2 linked regions of the Arabidopsis thaliana genome follow. The protein of the gene in region 1 interacts with the protein of each later gene in a biochemical or structural test. Each region holds a gene or a part of one and is shown on either strand. Other genes may lie near its edges.

Region 1 (6,909 bases):
AAATATTATTGGTTTAGAGTTATAAAAAATTGTTAATCACAAAAATGATGATTGAGAATTTAACAAAAAGTTGTTTTTTTAATATGTATAAAAAATTTAGAATTTAGATCAATTAGAAGCATGCAGTTGTAATTGTAGATCGGATCGCGAAACGAGTCTGAAACCTAATTTTGATCACATAAAAGTAGTTAATTATATTTAATATTTTCTACCATCATGCATTAACAAATGGTGGGGTGTGTTAGATTTATGAGACAAAATAGTAAAAGGTTTGAGTATATGACAAAAAGAAAATGTAATAAAAGAACATATTACATTAAGTTGATCACAATCTCAACGCCCTCTCTCTCACTCGAAACTCTTTTCTCTCTTTTCTCTCCAGCCAGCGCACTTCCTTCTCACTCAAAGAAGTTTCTCTTCTTCATGTATTCTCTCATTTCCTTCAACCACCACGTCCTTAGTCATATGATTCTCTATTCTTTAGCTACCTCTTCCCCACCTTCCCTTGACGAAAATTCTTGCATAATTCATAATTAGAAGAATTTCCTCCCAAGGTACTCGTGCTAACCCTTTTGATCACATACTTTCTTTTGATCACATACGTATTTATTTGACCCATTTGAATGTTCTACATCCATCATGATTTTTTTTGTTTTACGGTATGCAATCTAAAATCATGTGTTCTCCATCCATTCGCTACTGATTTAATCATTATCTGAGTTTTTCAACAAAAAGAACACAATTTATAAACATAGACAACCATGATTAGTTTCGGAAGTCAAAATAAAAAGCATGTTAATCAATTGTCTTTTATCTCGTATCCCCAATTTTACTTCTCAAAGTACTAAAATAGTCTAAAAACAATCATACGTACGTAATAAGAAAATAATTTACTTCCTGCTGTGTTTAAACAAAACTTCTATGAGATGTAAAAAAAGAAAAAGAGTCTACGATGGATGATCAAGCGTAATTGCTTTGTTACGTCTAAAAGGTGTTTAACAAAACTATAGCGCAGAAAATAATCAGTTTAATTAACTAAACAAAAACATGTTAGTGGATTAAGCCAAGAATTAGTCCGATAGAACTATAAAATCTACAAAATATCTCAAATCTCAATAATACGTATATAATATCTCAATAATACCTATATAATATCTCAACTCCAATCAGAAAGCTAAATAAAATATCAGCATAAGTTATATTCGCTTCCAAAAAAAGTCTGCCTCGTTACCTACCTCTCACACTCAAGTCTCTCACGTTATTTGAGATATTTAGGAGAAGCAAGACGACAACGAGAAGAAAAAAGAGTGGGTATGGTCAAGAAAAAGACAAATTATGATTTTAGTGGAAAATAGAAAGTAAAGAGTGAAGTGACGCGACACGTGGTACGAGACTCCACAGCGAGCCACGTAAGGGGGGACAAAGAAGAGAAGGTATGGACAATGGTTTCCGCGGTCGAGCCACGCTTTCAGAATTCTGATTGGCACTGGGTTATCTTGTGGAACCCATCTGAAAGATATTTTTGGTTGTCGTACGGATTTGTTTATTTCGGGTTTGTTGAATTAGTTTGTTTCGGTTTTATACACTATTTTAGGAAACTTTTTTTTATATTCTTTATAGTGAACTGGGCTGAATTTTTTTGGTTGCTAGATTCGAGACGAGCCAATTTATGTAATATTTTGTGGCTTTCTGTTGCTAAATTGTAAGATCTGTAACTTACATGAGATAGAATAAAATAATGTAATGCAGGTTTTGTGGCATATTTACAAACATCATCCACGTGTAATGATCTGTCCACATATTTTGCCTTGAAAGCAACTACAATATGACTTTTAATATCTTTTTTGTTAAATATTTGACTTTTAACTTATGTGAAGCAAAGAAGTAGAAAACGATTTGTTTTGTATTGAATTATTTTCCACTCGTTTCTACAACAATAAAATAAAATAAAATGAAGGAACCATTCTAAAAAAAGGAACTAGAATATTTTCAAACTATAGTACAAAAATGGAAACGACTATCGAATATTAGTAACTCCAAAGCGACACGTCACCATCTCCTTCGCCGTCATAATTATGATTCCATTGAACAGACGGCGGCGGTAAAAGCATGCCTTCAGCCATATTATCCAACAAAGTCGGCATCCCAAACATTGTCTCCTCATCCATATAAAACGCACCTTCGCTCTGTTCCGGTGTATAAATAGCTTCCACCATCGTCTCCTCCATGTCCAGGCCATGATTCGTGGTCGTCGTATCACACGTCTCATCTTGAAAAGCCAACGCCGCTTCAGCAGCCGCTTTTTGGATATCCTTGGCGCATGTTGACTCCGGGATTCGTAGCCGCCAAGCCGAGTCAGCGAAGTTGAGACATGCTGATCGGCCACGGAGGGCTAATGCAGCGACGTCGTGAGCACGAGCTGCCATCTCAGCGGTTTGGAAAGTCCCGAGCCAAATCCTGGTTTTCTTGTTTGGCTCTCTCACTTCAGAAACCCACTTACCGGAGTTTCTTTGACGAACTCCTCTGTAAATTGGGTGACGAGTCTCACGAAACTTCTTACGGCCCGCCGGTTTCTTCGGACAACTCGTGGCCAACGTCGGACAATAATCTCCGCCTTGAGGCTCGTAATCGGAGCCAAACATTTCAGAAAAAGCTGAAAATGAGTTCATTGATCAGAGTACTCTGTTTCAAGAAACTGGATAAGGTTTAAGTAGTACGTAGTTACTAGAGTTCTCAGTCTTTTTGGATTAATAAAAGATAGTATATCTGTCTTGGTAAAGCTATTTATATCTCTCTCTCTTTTTTTTCTTTTCAGGTAGATTCTTTTTCAAGTGTGTAGTTAGTATAAAAAGTGAGAGTGAGAATTGGTGTTTATATTGGCCGGAGGAGAGATAACGGATATGTGGGGAGCACACGGAGTTTTTGTCTCTGTGAATGACACGTGTATAGTACATAGCGAAGCAATCCCACGATGTTCCACTCGCTGTCTGACGTGTGTCCTTTGACCCTTGTAAAGAGACTTTTGACTCTTCACTCGTTAACCTTTATGAGTTCTTTAAATTCTATCGAGTGTGTGCCTGTGTGGTTGGCTGGCTGCTGTTGTTACAATCGTTTTTAAATTCCTATGAATAAACAAATTGTCATTAATTGTCACCCGTCTATAACATAATAGACATAAATATCTCTGTGAAATGATATTTTAAATACTCATGTAGTATTTGTATTGGAAGTAGATGTCCTAATATTTAACCAAAAATAATACTACAATATAGAAAAGCTTGATTTTTTAAAAAAATTAATCAGATTTGGTAATGGATAATTATCAATTTCGATGGACGGTTAAAAATGAGTCATAAATGCATATGATGAACAAAATTATTCAGTTTAAACAAACTATAACCAAAAACATGTAAATGGACCAGGACAGGACTAAGCGAAGGATTAGACCAATACAAAATAGCAAGTTATCTTGAATCCCAATAATTCCCACAAAATATCTCAATCTCAATAATAGCTATATTGTATTGACAAAAAAAAGGTATAAAAAATCTTCACAATAAGATATGCATGAAATATATTCGCTGACAAAAATATCTCTCTCGTTACCTCTCGCTCTCACGTTATTGACATTTAGGAGAAAAGAAGACACAACAAAGAGGGAAAAAAAGAGTGGTAAGGTGAAGAAAACAACAAAATTGGCTTTAGTGGAAAATAGAAAGTAAAGCTTGAGAGTGACGTATGGGGCCAGTGAAGGCTGGTGGGGAAGGTAGGGACAGTGTTTCCGCGGCCGAACCACGGGTTTAGAGGATTTTGACGTCCCCACGCATTATCTTGTGGAACCCATCTTTCTGTTTTTGGAAAATCGTACGGACGTTCGTTTTTGAATTATTTGCTGAATCGGGTTGTTTGGGTTTCTACTCTGTTTTGGGATTCTTCAGTGGATTGGACTGGATCTTTTGTAGCTTTTTGTTGGTAGATTTGAGACGCCTCTATTTTATGAATATCTTAATAGCTTTTTGTTGCATATTCAAGCGAGATAAGAAGATAATTGAGGCTTTATGGCATATTTGAAAAGTCGAAACTCGTTCTCATTCCACGTGTGATGATATGTTCGTGGCCACATATCATTCGGCCTTGAAAGCAACTACTAAACTCTTAACATAAGTGAAGCAATCCAATGAAGAGGAAAACAATTTATTTAATTAATTGTAATATATAAATATACACATTTCTTTATAACAACAATTATTAAACTTACTAACAAACTCATATGTTTCATCGAATCCAAAACTTGACATGTGGGATCTTGAGAGTGTTAAGTTGCAAGACTTTTTAAAAACTTGTATGCATTATTCATTGTGTAGATGTTATGTGATACATGTTCTAGTTCTATTAATCAGTATATTCTAATCAAAATTAAAAAATCTAATATTTGTTTGTCTTCATAATCTGTTATTGTTTTGTTTTTTTAGAAAGCAGCTTCAATTTTGTTTACTTGTTGGGCTTCTTATAATTTGTTTAACATATAGGCCCAATACTCCTAAAAAGTAGACGTTCTCGACTTCTCGTCCTTCAGACAAAATAAGAAAGTCAAAATGTGTTCTGAAAAAAATATCTTTGAAACTAAAAAGAAAAGAAAATAAAATAAAAATCCAAATGATCTCTCTTGCCTTCTTTATCTAAATCGTACCTAACTCTGTTTTCAGTTTCACCTATCTCTCGACGCGAGCTTCTTCTTCTTCTAGGGCTTCCACGCGACTACGCCTGCCAAAATCATTCTACAGGTAAATTGATGCAGTTTATTCACTCTCTATATCGTCGTGGTTCTCATCTCCTTCTTCCTTCTTTTTTTTTTGGTTGGTGAAAAGTAGAACAAGAGAATTGGTCCATCTCGTTTTTTATAAGTTGAATCTCATCAGAGCCTTCTTTGTTTTTCTGGTATGAAAGATTCATGCTTTCGTGGATTGTTCTCGTTTTCTCTATCTTGTGAATGATATTCAGATCTAACTGTAGTTAGATTAGATCTGTTGCATTGTACTTTTGATTCTAATACTGTCTAGTTCAGTTCCTAGATTTAACTGATTTGGAGCTCGAATAGATGAGTTTCAAGTCCTAATTTACTGCAAAACAATTCGATTTAGTGTGAGGGCTCTAGTTTTTAGTGTTAAAAGTTTTCATCTTGGTGACAAATTAGTTGTGATATTCGTGTTTAAATTATCATTTAAGGAAGTCTCATGAATCTTTTTTACTATTGTGGTTGTCTATACAGGAAGCATGAAGCCAGTCTTCTGTGGGAACTTTGAGTATGATGCGCGCGAAGGTGACCTGGAACGACTATTCAGGAAATACGGCAAGGTTGAGAGGGTTGATATGAAAGCTGGTGAGCCTTTTTTTTCTTTCTTTCTTTCTTCTGCCTCTTACTACTCTGTCTTTGTGGTTAACCTGAATGAATTATAATAAGCAGTATTGTTATCCACTAAGTACAATGAAAAAGCGAAATTCAAATGCATTTCATGAAATCCACTCTCGTCTTCATTCCATCCACGAGAAGGCTCTGGTGGACTATCTCCCTTTGGAAGGAGTACTAAACATTGACCACATTCACCTGGCCACCTGATGCAGCCTGCTTGAACTTTGGAAAGTACTTCAGAGGAATAAGATTTTTAGAAAAAAAATTAGTGTAAAACCGCATTTTCTTTGACGCAGGATGTGTTTGATAATCTTGGGACGCCTATACTCACACCTGGCCATGAATGGACCATAGGGAAATCCATCTCTTATCCCTCAAAATCAGTCACTTTCCATCCGCATTAGCACTGCCATCTTAATTGCATTTCATTCCTCATCACTTTGCACACTTGGACATGCCTCTGCAATGGAGAAGGCTCTCTATTTTCATTCATATCCCCGTCTGACTTCCACATTTTCAGTTGTTCCTTGACATATTAATTCCATAATGCAAGGTCTGTAACTGCTTCACTGGTCATTTGGAGTTTTTTTAAGGTTCTAGGAATGTTCAAAATTTAATATGTTCTAGGAGTTAAGTTAGGCGTTGAAGGAGGGAGGACAGTGTTCGTGTATGTTGAAGGTTCTTAATCTGGTCCACTTCCTCACTGTTAATGTACTCAGATCTTTGCTTTTGGCTTTTTCTTTTTTCTCCAGGGTTTGCTTTTGTATACATGGAAGATGAAAGGGATGCGGAAGATGCCATCCGAGCACTTGACCGCTTTGAATTTGGGCGTAAGGGACGCAGACTTCGTGTTGAATGGACAAAGGTAGGATACTTACCCCAGGATTTATTTCTTTCCAGACTTAGTTATGAGGTTTGAAATACTGATAACATAAATGGTTCTGTGTATATAGAGTGAACGTGGAGGTGATAAAAGATCTGGTGGTGGTTCAAGGAGATCCTCATCCAGCATGAGACCTTCCAAGACTCTCTTTGTGATTAACTTTGATGCGGATAATACTAGGACCCGGGATCTAGAGAAACACTTTGAGCCGTATGGAAAGATCGTAAACGTTAGGATCAGGAGGAATTTTGCATTTATCCAGTACGAGGCACAAGAGGATGCCACCAGAGCATTGGATGCTTCAAATAACAGGTTTGTTCTGTCCATTTTAGTATCTAATCACTTTCCTTTCTTAGACTCACGTTTCATCTGTGTTTTCATTCAGTAAGCTGATGGATAAGGTGATCTCGGTGGAGTATGCTGTGAAGGATGATGATGCTAGAGGAAATGGACACAGTCCTGAAAGACGCCGTGATAGGTCACCTGAAAGGAGAAGGCGATCACCTAGTCCTTACAAAAGAGAAAGAGGAAGCCCTGATTATGGCCGAGGAGCTAGTCCTGTTGCTGCCTACAGAAAGGAAAGGACCAGTCCTGACTATGGTCGAAGACGTAGCCC
Region 2 (8,254 bases), on another chromosome or scaffold:
TTTTCCCCTCTTTTTTTTATTTATGATAAGGTTTCTACGTTAGTAACTCTTATATATATGTTTTGACTGTTACACACTTGTGGAATCATGATGGCTGGATTGGTGATTCGACCATTTTGACATTGAAAACCGGTCTCCCTCCAATTACCTTGAAGCGTTATGCAATAAGTGTAAATGTCTGCTTTCGAATGGTTTTAGCAGTCCATGAGGCTAATCGACCCAACCCAACTCATAGACTATAGAGTTACATCATTTCCGTTGCATGTCTCTTGTGACACAAAGAACTAAACAAGATAAGAGAGAATTAGAGAAGCTATAAAACATAAAATCACTACATGTCACATTTATCATTTACTATGTTGAATATTTTTACCGTTCAATTTAAAGAAATCCAACAATATGCTTAAAATAATTTTTTTGATTAATGTTTCCAAATTCTATATGTTCTTTTAATCATATGGTAATTGATTATTTTCGACCATTCTGATAAAGTTTGGAGTACACTGTATTTTTTTTTAAAAATAGAAGAAATGTATATATAAATTAACTAAGAATATATTAAGTTTTATTGTTTTAATAAAGTAGTTTCATTGCTGCATGCACTCTGCCATTTACATAAAATGCAAGCCTTGTAATTTACTTTTCTTCATTAATTGTTTAAGATTTGTTTTCAATTTTAATTTTGTTAAGAAAACAAATCTTAATACGTTTTTTTATTTTGCTGGCTCTGAGGCAACAAACTTTTTTTACAATTACTTCTTTGTCATCCCCACTTAATCTGGCCTTACCGTTTTTATTTGGCTTCCCGGGTTATGCATAAGAAGATGTCAAGTAGGTGAGAGGTTGGTGTGCGTAGGGAATTTGCAATTAACACGTGTTTATTTTAACTCTCTTCAATTTTAAATGGTGAGAGTAGACGTAGCAAACTAGTCTAATCGCGAACTAAACCACTTTATATTTTTTGAACGAAATAGAAATTGTTGTAGTTTTCTATAAATTATTTTTTAATAATCTCCAAATAGAGCAACGTATCCACTTATATATATAACCTTATCTCTTTTTTTATTGGAGAAAAAAAAAGTACACTGTGATAATTTGAACTCATATATATACACACTAGTTGTGTGTGCTTGTCTTAAGAAAAAACAATGGGATCAATGGCTCAGAAATCGGTTTTGATGTTATGCGGAGAGTTCATGGAAGCCTACGAGACTATAGTACCTCTCTACGTCCTCCAAGCGTTTGGTGTTAGCGTCCACTGCGTTTCTCCTGGTCGCAAAACTGGCGACAAGTGCGTCATGGCCGCTCACGATCTCCTTGGCCTCGAGGCATTTCTCGAATCTTTCACTTTTTCTTCATTTCAGTTTTTTTCCCTTGCAATCGTTCTTTGCATATTTAGTAAAACAATGCGATCAAATGCTCATAATTGGGTGGACTTTCCCCTTTATTATCTTTATCCAAAAAGTTTAGATAATTGGGTGGTCTCAACCCAAAATGCATGGGCCTACTCTTAACAGTAAAAAAGAAGAGTTTCAATTTGACTTTTACCTTTTTACAGATATACACCGAACTGGTGGTTGACCATCTAACACTAAACGCTAACTTCGATGGCGTCATCCCCGACCAATACGACGCCATCATCATTCCCGGTGGACGTTTCACGGAACTTTTGAGCGCCGACGAGAAATGCGTGAGTCTTGTTGCTAGATTCGCCGAACTCAAGAAGCTCATCTTCACGAGCTGCCACAGCCAGCTGTTTCTTGCGGCGGCAGGTCTGCTCACCGGTGGAATGAAGTGCACGGCGTTCGAAAGCATGAAACCGTTTATCGAGCTCTCCGGCGGCGCATGGTGGCAACAGCCTGGAGTCCAGACCCTTTTCGAAATCACTGATTGTGTCAAGGACGGCAGTTTCATGTCCACTATGGGGTGGCCAACGCTTGGCCATAGTCTCAAAGTTTTGTTAGAATCACTTGGCTCCAAGATTTCTAGCTCTAAAGAGAATCATCAGACTTCTTTGCTTTTCTTGATTGGGGTAAGTAGCTTATTTTCATAAGACTCTCTTTTAGACTTTATATATTGGAATTAAAAAAATGGTCTGACTAATACGTAATTTTGGTATATTTAGGATTGTGTTGAAGATTATAGTATCAACGTACCATTTAAAGCGTTTCAAGCTTTGGGATGTAAAGTGGATGCAGTGACGCCAACCAAGAAGAGAGGTGAGAAATGCGCTACAATCGTACACGACCTTGAAGACGGACGGCAACTTCCTACTGAGAAGTTTGGTCACAACTTCTATGTGACCGTTGCGTGGGATGATGTCTCTGTGGATGATTACGACTGCATTGTGGTTCCCGGAGGAAGATCTCCGGAGCTCTTGGTGATGAACCCCAAGGCCGTCGAATTGGTCAGAAAGTTTGTTGAGAAAGGCAAGTTTGTTGCTGCCATTGGAATGGGAAATTGGCTACTTGCCGCCACAGGCGCCCTTAAGGTAATATACACCGTTTTACAAAAATTCGTTTTACTATTCTAAAGACTTAAAAGTTAAAACTGAAGCCGAACCAAACCATATTTTAATTTAAACGAAACAAAAATGTCAAGATAAGTTGCTCTAAGCACATAGGAATCTCCTATGGTTATGGTTATGACTAATATTATTCCAGCATATTGTTGAAGGTTAGTAAGATATAATTCATCACATTTATGGCACCACTTCCTTAGCATAGATTATAATTTTTGCCAGCTTGTTATAACTCATCTAATTCCCATTGTGGCATGCTATATTATTACATTGCAGAAGAAGAGATGTGCAAGTAGTTATGGGACAAAGGTGGCTGTGAAGGTTGCTGGTGGTGAGATCGTGGAATCTGAACGGTGCGTGACCGACGACAAGCTGGTCACAGCCGCATCAACTTCCGATCTTCCTGCCTTTTTGTATGCATTGTCGACTGCACTTGGTCTCTCTGTTGTATTCTAATGTCAAGTGGTGCTTTAACGTCTAATGCCTAAAAAAATAAAAACATATCTTTGTATGTCGAAATATAAGGTCGTCCCTCTAATTATTTATGTACAAGCTTGGATTTGCATATATATATGGGAAGAAGAGTTGCCACACTTGCTTACACCTCTTCTAATTGTGTTTTTTTATAAGAAATTACCACTATCAAGTTGTCATTCTCCTCGTTTTACATTTGGTAAACAAGCTCTATTGACCATTTATGTTGTAACACTACTTCAAGACTAAAGTTGATTAGAGATAGCAAAATCTGTCACCAGCAAATTGTGTTTCCTTGTTAAATACTAGTAACAGATTCCAAACACATTAAATTTTGTGAAGTTAAATTTAACAACATACTATAAAATAAAACAACACATAAACGGATTAAAGACGTTAATGTTCATCCAAAAAGTATACTGAACTTTTAAATAATTTACCGACGAATTGTACTGTTTATATCCGACCAATATAGTTAATCACATTTTAATCACTGCATAAATTTACTCATAGGAATTACAATTACCGAATTAGTTTCGGTTTAAAATTTGTTGGATCAATAAAACAAAAAAAAAAAAACGATGCCAGAATATTCCGTTCGTCGGCGTAGTCTTTCCCGCCCCCAAATTATCTGAGCAAAAACCCTAGACTCTCGATTTCGTCACGATTTTCTCAATCACCTTCACTATACTGCTTCGATGGACTCTCACTCTTCCCACCTCAACGCCGCCAATCGTTCCCGCAGTTCTCAGACTCCTTCTCCTTCTCATTCCGCCTCCGCCTCCGTCACTTCTTCTCTCCACAAACGCAAACTCGCCGCCACCACGGCAGCGAATGCAGCCGCTTCTGAAGATCACGCCCCTCCTTCTTCCTCTTTCCCTCCTTCCTCCTTCTCTGCCGATACTCGCGACGGCGCTTTAACCTCCAACGATGAACTCGAGAGCATCTCCGCTCGCGGCGCCGATACAGATTCAGATCCTGATGAATCAGAGGATATAGTCGTGGATGATGACGAGGACGAATTTGCTCCTGAACAGGACCAGGACTCTTCTATCCGCACATTCACCGCCGCTCGACTCGATTCCAGCTCTGGAGTCAACGGTTCGAGTCGCAACACTAAACTTAAGACGGAAAGCTCCACGGTGAAGCTTGAGAGCTCTGATGGTGGAAAAGATGGTGGATCATCTGTGGTTGGGACTGGTGTGAGTGGCACTGTTGGAGGAAGCTCAATCTCAGGGCTCGTGCCAAAGGATGAGTCTGTTAAGGTATTGGCTGAGAATTTCCAGACTAGCGGAGCTTACATTGCCAGAGAAGAGGCTTTGAAAAGAGAGGTAGCTTATCACTGGATCTATGCTAATGAATTACTAGATGAGTTCAGAGAATCGCCATTGACAAATTTGGTGATATCTTTCATTTAGGAGCAAGCAGGACGACTCAAATTTGTTTGTTACTCAAATGATTCCATTGATGAGCATATGATGTGGTAATGCCTTCCATCATTTGTCTCCTGCCATTGAATTTAGCTTCTAATCAGCTATGCATTCTTCGTTCTAACCTCGTTTTTTATGAATAATTTGTTGAATGTATTCCAGCTTGATTGGGTTGAAGAACATTTTTGCAAGACAGTTACCTAATATGCCCAAGGAGTACATTGTTCGTCTTCTGATGGATAGGTAAACATGCTAAACTAAAGTGAAACATTGACAATTTTTGTAACAAACAATCGCAAATGGTAAGCATTCTAATATCTGTAACTTATGTTATTTGCCCAGGAAACATAAGTCTGTTATGGTACTAAGAGGGAATCTAGTTGTAGGTGGTATCACGTATCGTCCATATCACAGGTAAGGTTTTCGCATAACTCTTCCCATCTTTTGACCCAGTGATGATTTTCTCCACCATATGTATGTGAATACGCTTATACAGCTTTTTGCTGTTTAGAGAGTAGCATGTTGACTTGTTATCTTATATTATCATCAAACACAGCTTACTTTTCCTATAGAATATTTCTGAAACTGTCTGATGTCATAATGAGCATGAATACAGTCTTGACATGCTTATTAACTCCATTGTTTCCCTGGGATTCAGTCAGAAGTTTGGGGAAATAGCATTTTGTGCAATCACAGCAGATGAACAAGTAAAAGGTTACGGTACCAGATTGATGAACCACTTGAAACAACATGCACGTGATGTTGATGGATTGACGCATTTTCTTACTTATGCTGACAACAATGCTGTTGGTTACTTCGTCAAGCAGGTTGGTGTTTCGTATATTGTGCAATTTTTTGCTCTATTTTTAATCTCTCAACAAACTTCGACCAACTGTAGTACATTCCAGAAAAGTAGTTGAACTGTGTTTTGGATGTAATGTTTTCTATTGGTTAATAGGAGATACCTCAGAGTTTCACTTCTAAAAGTTCTGTTTCCACACTTAGCTATCAAGTCTACTTTCTGGATTCTAACTGTAATTTTTATATTCTTACAGTCGTCCACTAAGTTGATCTGTTACGTCTATTATCTTGTGCAGGGTTTTACTAAAGAGATTTACTTGGAGAAAGATGTATGGCATGGGTATGGAAACTATGTATCTCTTAAGTTCAAACTGCTCATTTACCATTCTTAACTTCTGTGCTTTATCTGTATGATGTCTAACTTAAATATTTGTTGGCCCAATTAAGCTCACAAACCTTAGAATACAAGCATTTTATTGCGTGGCTGATTATGCTACGAGAGAGCTATTTAAAACTTGTCTTTATCATTCTCTTCTTCATCTTGAAACTTACTTTTGCAAATAAAAACCTTTGAAATTTTCTTAGGTTCATTAAAGACTATGATGGTGGTCTCCTTATGGAATGCAAAATTGATCCAAAGCTGCCATATACGGATTTGTCAAGCATGATACGCCAGCAAAGAAAGGTAAGCCTTTGAAAATACCTTTTATGTGGTGAAAAAATATCTCGAGCCTTCAGGTTCATCTATACCCAAATAGTTCTTCAGGTTACGAAGCTATTTGTTTACTTTCTTTACTTTCACTATTTAACTCTAGCATTATGGCTGATTCTGAAAAAAATTAAAAACATAAGAAATACAAACTTGAGGATTCGATTATTGAAAGTTCCTCTCTTCTCTCTCTCGAGGAATTAATTAATGGAAATTCCTGTCTTCCCCTATGAGCCCAAAAATCAAGCTGCCCTCCCAAAAGCTATCTGCTTTCAAGAGAGCATAGCAACGTAACACTAAACGAGTAACCATTGTTACATTTCTGTCTAATTATACGTATCAGTTTCTGATCCGGTTGTACTTTTATAATATCAGGCAATTGATGAAAGGATAAGAGAGTTATCAAACTGTCAGAATGTGTATCCAAAAATTGAGTTTCTAAAGGTAAACATCAATGGTTTCATGTCTTGTGGCTATTATTGTATACAATGTTTCCAGTAGTAATAATAAATGAGATGATTTTTGCAGAATGAAGCTGGAATTCCTAGAAAGATTATCAAAGTTGAGGAAATACGTGGCTTAAGTAAGTTATGATTCTACTTGATGGTGTTATTGCAGTTTCTTACCCAAAATATAGACATATCTCCCTTTAAAATGTTCTAGTCATCTCAAAATTAAGATTGTGCTAGTCGCTCCATGAGATCAAGTTGATATGCATGTTTGAGATTCTCCTGCATTTGTTAGCTGTGGGCTAAGGGTTTATCTGTAATACATGAATTGGCTAATTCATGAATTATGGTATACTGTTGCAGGGGAAGCTGGTTGGACCCCAGATCAGTGGGGGCACACTCGTTTCAAATTATTCAATGGTTCTGCTGATATGGTGACAAATCAAAAACAGTTGAATGCACTCATGCGTGCGCTTTTAAAGGTTGTGATAAATCTTTTTTGTTTTGTTATTAATTATTATGTCCTCTTACATATTATGTTATTGCAATTACATGCCCTTTAATTTGACAAGCTGTAGTTAATTGCTACAGACAATGCAAGACCATGCTGATGCTTGGCCTTTCAAAGAACCAGTGGATTCTCGCGATGTCCCTGATTACTATGACATCATTAAGGATCCCATTGGTAAGAAGATATAGTTAAAATATCAATTTCGCTATTAATTATCCAGAATTTGTCCTCTTTTTAAGTAGAAGTGTTAAATCACTTTGGTAACCAAAAAATGGTTTGAACACAGATCTGAAGGTAATTGCAAAGAGGGTAGAGTCGGAACAGTATTACGTGACATTGGATATGTTTGTTGCGGATGCGAGACGGATGTTTAACAATTGTAGAACTTACAACTCCCCCGATACCATTTATTACAAATGTGCAACCAGGTAAGACGTTTTTTTCTTTCATTTCATTTCTTCTCTTCTTATTCAGTAATGAAATAGTGCATTTACTTTGTTTTTCTTTCTCTTAAAAGGTTGGAAACACACTTCCATAGCAAAGTACAAGCAGGTCTCCAATCTGGTGCTAAATCTCAATAGAAGAAGATGGTAGAGGTTATATTAATATCATTTTCTAGATCTTTCATTTTAAGATACTTTCATTGGAACTGGGAATACATGTATACTATTTTAGGCCCATGTATACTGGAGCTTAATTGTTTGTATGTTTTTTTTTCGGATAGGTAAATATTTGATTTAGTTAGATTCAGAATGTTTAAGTTTTTACTTTGTAGGTTAAATTTGTTCTATAAAGCTTATTTCCAACTGTAAAGACACATTTCATTTTACTAAATGTTTCTGATGAAAATCACATAACCAAATTTTGATATCGAACGGGATCACCAGTTTCGGTGGTTTTGATCGGATCAACAATGGTGAAGAGAATGAGCGTCATGGGTCATTTGTGTTTACACGCTTACACTCACGCTTACGCTGCACAGATTTCTTTAATCTGATGAATGTGAGTTGTTGTTGCTCAACATTTCGTTAAAACGGTTACGTTTGCCATAAGTAACTATTGATACATTTGTGTTTATACGCTTACGCTGCTGCACATGTTTACGTGATTACGTCTACGACCATTTCAACTTCGATTTGCCTTAGAAGCACGATAGCTTATACATTCTTCCATCATGTCCAATCATATATATAATATTAAGAGTTTACCGTCGCTGAGTCATACAGTAAATAAAAATACAGACAATAGTTACCTCAATCAAAATCACAAAACCAATGACTCTTTTTCTGGTTAATGCTTGTGATTCCAATGGGGTAGGGTTTCATACAGATTAGAATCAGGAGCAAATGGATTCTGCAT

The links.
Region 2: the proteins of CBF1 (region 1) and HAG1 form a complex in vitro, tested with the Arabidopsis thaliana proteins (one study listed by BioGRID).

Annotation. Positions count from the first base shown.
Region 1 is NC_003075.7:13,019,894-13,026,802, forward strand, and holds CBF1 (C-repeat/DRE binding factor 1), read right to left. Parts: upstream 3,104-6,909; 5' UTR 2,670-3,103; coding exon 2,028-2,669; 3' UTR 1,887-2,027; downstream 1-1,886. Other genes in the region: RS40 (arginine/serine-rich splicing factor 35), read left to right, coding at 5,275-5,380, 6,163-6,275, 6,364-6,605, 6,679-6,909. UniProt on the Arabidopsis thaliana protein: Transcriptional activator that binds specifically to the DNA sequence 5'-[AG]CCGAC-3'. Binding to the C-repeat/DRE element mediates cold-inducible transcription. CBF/DREB1 factors play a key role in freezing tolerance and cold acclimation.
Region 2 is NC_003074.8:20,209,900-20,218,153, forward strand, and holds HAG1 (histone acetyltransferase of the GNAT family 1), read left to right. Parts: upstream 1-3,506; 5' UTR 3,507-3,693; coding exon 3,694-4,326; intron 4,327-4,413; coding exon 4,414-4,478; intron 4,479-4,587; coding exon 4,588-4,668; intron 4,669-4,767; coding exon 4,768-4,839; intron 4,840-5,083; coding exon 5,084-5,252; intron 5,253-5,522; coding exon 5,523-5,566; intron 5,567-5,811; coding exon 5,812-5,911; intron 5,912-6,310; coding exon 6,311-6,379; intron 6,380-6,463; coding exon 6,464-6,518; intron 6,519-6,747; coding exon 6,748-6,866; intron 6,867-6,975; coding exon 6,976-7,069; intron 7,070-7,181; coding exon 7,182-7,323; intron 7,324-7,412; coding exon 7,413-7,476; 3' UTR 7,477-7,754; downstream 7,755-8,254. Other genes in the region: DJ1F (Class I glutamine amidotransferase-like superfamily protein), read left to right, coding at 1,149-1,328, 1,559-2,032, 2,126-2,491, 2,798-2,977; BZIP25 (basic leucine zipper 25), read right to left, coding at 8,186-8,254.